Danio rerio: one gene and its partner. The protein of the gene in region 1 purifies or fractionates together with the protein of each later gene. This does not show direct contact. Links are inferred from orthologs where the notes say so. Each region holds a gene or a part of one and is shown on either strand. Other genes may lie near its edges.

Evidence for each region. Proteins that work in one complex are often made in the same cells at the same time.
Region 2: the proteins of polh (region 1) and rad18 purify together in Homo sapiens (affinity purification with western blotting; 7 studies listed by BioGRID, with this or other methods). This does not show direct contact. The link is inferred for Danio rerio from reciprocal best matches to the Homo sapiens genes POLH and RAD18.

The regions. Positions count from the first base shown.
Region 1 is NC_133188.1:718,186-722,879, forward strand, and holds part of polh (DNA polymerase eta), read right to left. Parts: intron 4,433-4,694; coding exon 4,221-4,432; intron 3,525-4,220; coding exon 3,352-3,524; intron 1,340-3,351; coding exon 1,236-1,339; intron 1,049-1,235; coding exon 929-1,048; exon of another isoform or gene 86-928; intron 81-85; coding exon 1-80. UniProt on the Homo sapiens protein: DNA polymerase specifically involved in the DNA repair by translesion synthesis (TLS). Due to low processivity on both damaged and normal DNA, cooperates with the heterotetrameric (REV3L, REV7, POLD2 and POLD3) POLZ complex for complete bypass of DNA lesions.
Region 2 is NC_133181.1:44,354,380-44,359,672, forward strand, and holds the start of rad18 (E3 ubiquitin-protein ligase RAD18), read left to right. Parts: upstream 1-1,831; 5' UTR 1,832-1,964; coding exon 1,965-2,015; intron 2,016-2,340; coding exon 2,341-2,419; intron 2,420-2,535; coding exon 2,536-2,597; intron 2,598-2,822; coding exon 2,823-2,893; intron 2,894-5,293. UniProt on the Homo sapiens protein: E3 ubiquitin-protein ligase involved in postreplication repair of UV-damaged DNA. Postreplication repair functions in gap-filling of a daughter strand on replication of damaged DNA.

The DNA of each region.
Region 1 (4,694 bases):
TGCAGCCGATGGATTTGGGCAGCTGACGAGGCTTCACCGGCTCAAACTCAATCCCTCGACACAGATCATAGAGCCACGGCCTGACAACACACACACACACACACACACAGGCACCACACACACACACACACACACACACACACACACACACACACACACGCGCGCACGCACGCACACATACAGAGACACACACACGCACGCACACACACACACACACACAGAAACACACAGACACACACACAGACATGCACGCACAAACGCACGAACACACACACACATACAGAGACACACACACACTCACGCACACATACACATACAGAGACACACACGCACGCACACACACACAGAAACACAGACACGCACGCACACACGCACGCACACACACAAACACGCACGCACACACACACGCACACAAACACGCATGCATGCACGCACACATACACACAGACAGACACACACAAACACGCGCACACACACACACACACAACACACACACACACACACACACGCACGCACACACACACACGCACGCACACACACACACACAACACACACACACACACACACACACGCACGCACACACACACACACAGAAACACACACACATGATTCACTAATGTCTTTTTTTTCTTCTGTTTTCCTTTTAAATCTGCTTCATCAAGTTTAATGATGTTTATTCTGTTGTTCTGATCTACACGTGTATTTGATCTTCTTTTTCTTGTAAAGCACTTTGAGTCAGTCATGTGTGTGTGTGAAACCTGCAGCAGAAATAACCTCGCCTGCTTAATTGAATATTCTGTCCAGTTCAAGTTGTCAAACTCATTAAGTCCATGATAAAGCTGCATATGATGAGTGTCTGAATGAATATCAGCTGATTTCAGATCTGTACATGGCTTTATTTATCTTCTCTCCGTGTGTGTTTGCTCACCCGGTCTTGTCCCCGAAGTGCTGCTCCAGCTGGGCTCTGCTGAACCGGGTCAGATCTCCCATGTTCTCCACACTCAGAGTCTCCGTGATGGACGAGCCCAGCTTCCCTCCCAGATTACGACTGAGCACAACATACACATGTGGAAACACACGTGTTCATGAGGTACAGGCAGTGCTGGGTGTGCTTATCTAAAACCACTGACTATAATTAAATACTTATTCACTGAGAAATAAAGCGAGGCAGTACTGTTCAAGTCACTGAAGTCATTCGAAGAGGAATTTTACTGACATGATTAGCGATCACTTACATTTTGCTGATGGGAAGAGTGCTGAAGAGTTGAGGAACGGAGCTCAGCGGCAACACGGTTTGGCGATTGGGTTTGTTTAGTCCGCATGCCAGCTTGGCCAACACCTGAGAGACAAACCCAGAAACATTAGAGTTCAATGAAAACAAAAACCAACATACAGTTCATCAGTCTTCACATTTAAGATGGAGAGACTGATTATAACTGGGAATAAATGTAGTATAAACATGTCAAACAGCAGGCAGCGACGTCAACAAATCACTGTGGAGAATGAAGCAACAGATACTAGCCAACGGTTTCAACTTTAGCAGAATTTCTGTGTGTGTGTTTATGTGTGTGTGTTTTTGTGACATATCAGGACACAAATCTGTATAATGACATGGGTATGACACAGGTATTACAAAAAGCAGGTGAAATATGGGGACATTGGTGACGTCCTCATTACTCAAAAAGCTTATAAATCACACAGGATGAGTTTAATCAGAGAGTAAAGCTGCACACTGACTCCTGTGATGATTAGGGGTGGGGTGGGGTGAGGGCAATACAATATACGGTTTGAACAGTATAAAACAGTACAAAAACAAACGTGTGTGTGTGTGGCCAGTTTGTTGTGATTGTTTTTAACATATAGAGAATGCAATAAATTACTTTCATATTTCAAGGTGCAAAGTGTCAACTTATATTCTCAATACAAGTCAATTAATCTTAAAAAGTTGTAAAAATTCCTTAGTAATTAAAAGGATGACAAATGAGATAATGAAATTTGTAAATTACATATTTATCATGCAGGTGTGGATTGATGTTTGCATTTTAAACACACACACACACACACACACACACACACACACACACACATATACAGTTGAGGTCAGAATTATTAGCTCACCATTGCATTTTTTTTGTTTTTTAATATTTCCCAAATGATGTTTAACAGAGCAAGGAAATGTTCACAGTATGTCTGATAATATTTTTTCTTCTGCAGAAAGTTTTATTTGTTTCATTTCAGCTAGAGTAAAAGCATTTTTATTTTTTTAAACACCATTTTCAACTCAATATTATTATCCCCTGTAAGCTATATTTTTTCTAGATCGTCTACAGAACAAACCATCATTATACAATGACTTGCCTAGTTACCCTAATTACCCTAGTGAAGCCTTTACATGTCACTTTAAGCTGTATAGAAGTGTCTTGAAGAATATTTAGATGTCATGATGACAGTAAATAATATGAGACTAGATCTAACCATCTAGACTAACCATCGGCGCAATACCGCTCTTTGTTATGAGACGCAGTTTCAGTGTAAACTTAGTAAAGGCGAGCTTCTTTGGCGATGATATGAACAGTATTAGATTTGACTTTTAGCGGACATTTGCGCTGAACACGCAGTGAATGCAAAGCATGGAGATTCGGGCGCCTTCTCCAAGAAGCGCGTAATCGATTGATCTCAGCTAGCGGATCATTATTCACCACGTGACGTGTCATGATCGCTCTCATCTGCGCCTCAACTTTAGGTGGGGTTTGCAAACCTGTGTGCTTTAAGTTTTTACTCTTCAGCCGTTTGCATTTCCCGTGGTCATCAAGCTCCTTCCCTGTCATCTGACAGCGGAATACCTTGAGGGATTGACAGCTAATATGAACCAATATAGCGGCAGGGAAGAGCGATTCAGCACGTTTTTACAAAAAAATCAAAACAGGTCGCACTACAACCATTATCAGCAGTCGCACTAATGCGCCCAAATATACTATGAGGTCGCATAGATTAATTTTCGGGCGCATATGCGACCAAAATGGTCGCAATTTCGAGCCCTGTTATATATGCACACATATTTCAAAATGCTGCAAACAAATCCGAGTTTGCATGTTCATTTGCAATAATTACAACAACAAATACGCACATATAATTTGATATACAGTATATGTTCATATTGAGTCATGTATTAGATTTCTGTATGTATCAGACAATTAAAGGCCATAATTGCAATTATTTTAAACAGCTTGATACAATAAGGGAATCATGCTGGGTTTGGGTTTATATAGCTTATTTTGCGCTTCATGACCACGACTGAACACCCGCTAACTGTAAATGTAGAAAGAGACGTAGAAATTCTCTTATATCCACCTTGTTGTGTGAGATACCGGCGGAGCAGCGAAACCCGGTGTGTTCCTCCACAGCAGCCCTCATCTGCTCCACTATCAGAGCCCCGACGGCCAGACGCAGATCCGCAGGTGAAGATTCAGTGCTGGAGGACAGAAGATCCAGCCACTGCTGCAGACCTGCGGCCCGCTGCGCATCTGCACAAACACAACACACAGCGGTGGGAAGAGGATGAGGAAACAGCTCACTCAAGTAAAAGTACCATTACATTACACAGAAAACAAGATTTAAAGATTTTCCACTTGACTAGATCTTAATTAAGTCATTCAAACATCTCTTGAAGCCTCTCTATAGGTTTACTCCAGGGGTGTCCAATCTCGGTCCTGGAGGGCCGGTGTCCTGCAGATTTTAGCTCCAACTTGCCTCAACACACCTGCACGGATGTTTCTAGAAAGCCTAGTAAGAGCTAGCCCAGGTGTGTCTGATTGGGGTTGGAACTAAATTTCGCAGGACACCGGCCCTCCAGAACCGAGTCTGGACACCCCTGGTTTACTCTCTACTGGACAGTTGGTCTCGAGCATCCGCCATTTTTGTAGTTTGTTTACACTTTTCCCCTGAATTTGTAGTTCTAATTGAATTCACATGGAGGGTGGGGACGTAACGGTATCAAAATGACGGTATTTACAATAGCGTTACATCCCTAATGGTGGGCAATATTAGCAGTTAGAGTAGGGACATCTCTACACTTCACATTTCTACCAGAAATACTAGACCATCTGGACCCTTTGGCGAACTCTATATAGTGTACCAACAATAGTGAAGGGTAAAACTGACCCTGTGTTTACATTTTTGGGTGAACTGTCTCTTTAATACCAGGTGAGAACAGGGCTGACCTCTGTCCAGGTGTGTGTTCTCCTGCTGTGTAGGGAAACCCTGAATGTGTGTGTTCTTCAGCTGCTGCGCCGTGATGTCCTGCACACTGGTGTTCTTCAGGCGCTCCTGAACGCTGGCCGTCAGGTCCATATAGGCCTCGTCAATGCTGGCTCTCTCGATCACAGCGAAGCGGGACATCACCTCGATCACCTCCACACTCGCCTCCCTGTAGCTGAAACACACACACACGCGCACACAAACACAAGGTCCAAAAAATACTATGTTAGGGATACATATTAAATAGGGGTGGCACAGTGGTTAGCACTAAGGTCACTGGTTCGAGTCCCAGCTGGGTCAGTTGGAGTTTCTGTGTGGAGTTTGCATGTTCTCCAAGTGTTGGCGTGGGCTTCCTCTGGGTGCTCCGGTTTCCCCCACAGTCCAAACACTATAGGGGAACTGATGAATTAATGTGGCCATAGTGTATGAGTGTATGA
Region 2 (5,293 bases), on another chromosome or scaffold:
ACCTGGATAGTACCCGGAAATTAACACGTCTTCTGCAATTGGGTTATTGACTTTCTGACTAACAGAACTCAGAATGTTAGACATGTTCTCCACCACCGTCAATCTCAACACAGGTATACCACAGCCTCTTCCTCTACTCCCTTTTTTTACCCACGATCGCAGGCCCATAAATGAATCCAACACCATCATCAAGTTTGCAGATGACACCACAGTGATCAGTCTCATTAACCACAATGATGAAACTGTCTACATGGAGGAAATACAGCAACTGGCCACTTGGTGTACACACAATAATTTGCTCCTCAACACCAGCAAGACCAAGGAGCTCTTTGTGGACTTCAGGAAGGGACAAGTAGGGTCACATGATCCTATTCACATCAATGGGATGGCCATTGAGTCTGTTTCATCCTTCAAGTTCCTGGGGACCCACATTTCAAAGGACCTGTCCTGGACCACCAACGCCTCCAGCCTGGTCAAGAAGGCTCACCAGCGCCTTTTTTTCTTAAGGTAATTTAAGAAGAACCAGCTGTCATCAGCTGTCTTGGTGATCTTCTATCGCTGCGCAATAAAGAGCAACCTGACCACAACTGTATCACAGTCTGGTATAGAAGCTGCTTTGCCCAACGCATCACAGGGTCCCAACTTTCAGCCGTTGAGGACACCAGAAGAAACACTGTCTGCGCTAAGGACTCCTCTCACCTTGCTCACAGATTGTTTTCTGTTCTGCTTTCCAGCAGGCACATCTGCCCCATCCTGGTTAGACCTAAACTGCATTTCATTGCTTTGTAATTGTACATGTGTAATAAAGTTGAACCTAATCTAATTATGGTAAAAAAAATCCATCAAAAATGCTTTCAGACAAAGCCGAACGGCGTAAAGATGCTTCGGTGTGACTTCAGGTAATCAGTTTGGGCCAATGCTAACAAATATTTTTCATGAGTAGCTACAACATCCAGCTGTGCGAAAAAACATATGATCTGATGAAAAAGAAGTCATTTTTCACTACTGTATTTTAGACACATTTTACAAGTGACTTTTATTTTAAATAGTATACTTCTTGTACTTCTTGAAAAAAAGACCAATGAAAAGACGTGAAGCACCAAAAAAAAAAAAAAAAGAATTTAAATATTTAAAAAATATAAATAGATTTAAATATTATTTGGCTAAAATAGTCAAAAGGTGCAGTTATGATGACCACCCTTTTCCAGTTAAATCTGAATAGTGCTTAAAATGGCACTAAAAAGCAGTATTTTGAATTACATATTTAAACTGAGAAAATGAGGCATATAATTGCAAACCGATACACTTTTTGAGGAAAAAGAACCACCTTTTTACCAGGCTGGCCACGTGCATGCTTCTACAGTATTTTTCCTACTATGGAAGTAAATGGGCGGTTCATTCCCCCGTGGCGACCCAAGATTAATAAAGGGACTAAGCTGAAAAGAAAATCTAAATGGAAGTAAATGGGTCCTAGAAACCAGCATTCTTCAAAATATCTTATTTTGTGTTCTACAGAAGCAAGAAACGTGTAAAACATGTAAAGGTTTAAAACTTTTACACCAAGGGAGAAAAAATTATAAGGTCATTTTTGGAGTAAACTATCCTTGTAAAGTATGCTTCTTTTATCTCATTTCAGTTAGATTAACAAGAAAATGCTTCTCATCATCATATAATAAAAACTTTTCAGTTTGAACTTAATTAACTAAGAACATATATATCGAATTATTACTAAAGCATTATTAAAACTAAGTGTATAAAACAGAAGCAGCACAATAAAAGCGAACCCCTAATCGGAATTTTTGATAAATGGGTAAATGTTTACGATTTAACCGGAAGTGACGCTGTTGTAGGAAGTGTTCAGTGGAGCGCGCGGGAGTTTATTGTTGCTATCTAGGGAGCTAGTGTTTATTAGCGTCCCAATATTATCCAAATAACACTAAAAACAGCAGAGGAGTTTGTTGAGAATGGCTCAGCTAAATGAAGTGGACTTACCGCCGAACCTGTCATGTCTCAAAGTACGTTCAGTTTTTCTACTTTTATTTAACGTTAGATAAAAATATGAATTTATGCTACCAGTACACCAGTGGGTCACAAGCATATAACTTAAGATAACTGTTCCGTTCTTGATAAAGCACAACAAGTCTATTCACGATGTATTTGACTATTGTGTTTATGGCTGTTAATTTACTGACATTGATCGGAATTAACTACTTTGCATGTTTGTGTAACGTTACATCAGTAAGAATCTGTCATAACATTACGTATTTCCAGCGGTAACGCTGTTCAGATAGTATAAATCGTGAAATCGCATCAGATCTTGTATATTTTTGTGTGTATCAGCCTATGGATACTCTCCTCCGATGTCCCATCTGCTTTGAGTTTCTCAACATCTCCATGATGACCCAGTGTTCACACAACTGTACGTATAAAACGGTTACACACAGTTTATAACATGTAACGTTATGAGGGTTTATTTATTTATCTACCCATGAGCAATATGCAATTGACCATATTTCTTTTTGCTTTTTCCAACAGTTTGTTCTCTGTGCATTCGGAAGTTTCTCTCCTATAAGCTGTTGTGTCCTGTGTGTAACTCGGTAAGTGTCATGTCAAAATAATTCAATAATAATACATAATTTTCTTGTCGAATACTTTACAAGTTTAGTGTAAAATGTGAAGTCAGGGCTTAACATGGCACTGGTAAAAAGCTGATGCATTCATTTCATATCGAAAACTTTGCTGTTATCACAGTAGTTTAATTAAGTTTTTTTAAATAATGATTTTTATAAAACAGTTTCATTAATCTTTAACTCTGCTTGCAGCCATCAACAGAACAAGACCTCAGGAACAACAGATTATTAGACGACTTAGTTCAGAGCTTCCAGACGGCAAGGTAAAGCTTGTATTTGTTGTTTAAATGAGTGTTTATTAATAGAGTTTGGAATTTTGAATATATATATATATATATATATATATATATATATATATATATATATATATATATATATATATATATATATATATATATATTCTAGGAGCCAAGACACATATTGTAGTCCCTGGGTTTCTACTTCTATTTGTTATTTTCTTACACTTTAGGAGCTTTTGGGAAAGTTATGAAATGTGTCCTCTGATTCTAAGTGCACACTAGGACATGATGATCCTTAAGGCTTCACAATATAATTATTACAAAGTACATAACGTATAATAATTGTGCAGCTGCAGTAAAATAGTTACTGTAAAACTTTATTTTTAATTTGCATATGCTTTAGGGTCTGTTGCAGGGTAAACGTTTCAAGTAAGCTTAGAAAATGAATGCACTAGTAAACTACGTTTGTAGCTTAAACAAATATTTATAATATTTGTAGTTATGCAGAGAAGACTGTGGAGAGTTATTCTGATTATCATATCTCTGCACCAAATTCCTGAGAAAATATAAATGTGAATAAAAAGTAATTCATTTGTATTTAGGTCTATGCTTGTAAATTGTTTATTATAATTTAAGCAGATTGAATGCAAATAATAATTGGCTGTTGCTTTCAGTGCTGTTTCCTAAATAAAAAGTCTGATAGACTACTGTAAAACAGTATAAAATTGTTACTGTATTTTAGTGTACGAAGTAGCTTGTGCATGTAATACATCTGCACTATATAATACACACAGATTGCATACATGCTGAAAACATCAATAGGACCTTGTCCATTTTACATATCTCCACTATTTGTACTACACACACCCCTCACTGCTAGTCTGTCAGTCATTTTTTGTGTGGAAAGAGGAAAGTGACCACCACAATTTATATGAAAATGATTGCTTTGTTTTACAGTCCTTGTTTTATATATATATATATATATATATATATATATATATATATATATATATATATATATATATATATATATATATATATATATATATATATATATATAAAGACTATTGTATTGATACCTGCTGATTGAGGTCGGGCAATTTAAATGAAGGCAATATTCTTGCGAATTTTGTGAGTAAAGCAGATTCTAGTAAAACTCTCTAACACATGCTTTAATGGAGCAGCACCAGCTACACTGAATCCTAGTGCTCTGACAAACTATGCAAAATCATGTTCAAAATTGAAGTTGATTTTATAAAGCGGTATTGGCCATTGTTGAAAATGGTGCTACATCTGAAAGATCAGATGTAATTAGGGTTGTCATGATACTGGAATTCGCTACTAATCAATAGATAAGCTTTAAAAACTTCCATTTCCTGTCTACCGAGCACATTCTTAAACAGAGCTGATTTGCCATTGTGTTCATGTGCTTAACAGATAGGACTGTCATTGGCAGTGAAGGTCATCAGTTCACCAAATTCACCGCTCTTTACTGAGTGTAAATACAGATACAGGGACACTGCAGTGTTTCAAAGTCATGTCGATCAGCTGGTTTGTCTATAAGCTGATACACGAGCGATCCGCTGATGAATTGTGGCTTTAAAATGCTCCAGTGTCCCTGTATTTAAGTTAATTAAATCCTTCTGTGTGATGATTCAGCAATCATGTGTTTATTAGTCAAGTTGAAAGATGAAAGCAGTTAAATCTTCTTCTGTTAATCAATTTGGGGTTTTTCTAGGTTTCTTCTTCGTGTGTATTTGGATTTTAAATGGCCTAAGCCCTGAAATTATCAGTGTGTAGGCAGAGTGAAAGGAGAGTGGAGTGGAATAATTTGTACAGTATGAAAACCTTTGATAAAAATATTGCAGTTTTGCGGTATTATGACTTAATTTTTTTTATTGTGTGGGTAAAAACAACAACAACAACAACTGTTTTTTCCATTAAACACAACTTTTTATTTTCAGAAACATTTAAAATGTTTCGTTAAAGTAAACATGCCAGGCTAAAAAGTTAAAATAAATCATGGACTTCTGCTATTTTCATTAGTTTCAAAAATACAGATTCATTTACAACTTGAAAAGGGATATTTTGATTTTTTTTTCCCTTGGAGTAAGCCGCTGCACTGTTCAGGTCTAAAACATGCTTGGATGTTGGCGCAAAAGCGAATTTTTTTTAAAAAAGTTTCCTGAATCGTGGGCTGACCAGTAGCTTTTGATGAATATGGTGTTTTGCTGCTGGAGACAGGGCCGGATTAAGAACATATTGGGCTGTAGCAAATCCAAGGGCCCCCTTTTATCTATTTATTTTTTTACCTCACAAAAGTGTGTGTGTGTGTGTGTGTGTGTGTGTGTGTGTGTGTGTATATGTTGTTCTTATTATTAAATTGTTTTTTATTGTTGTTGTTGTTATTATTAATAATAATAA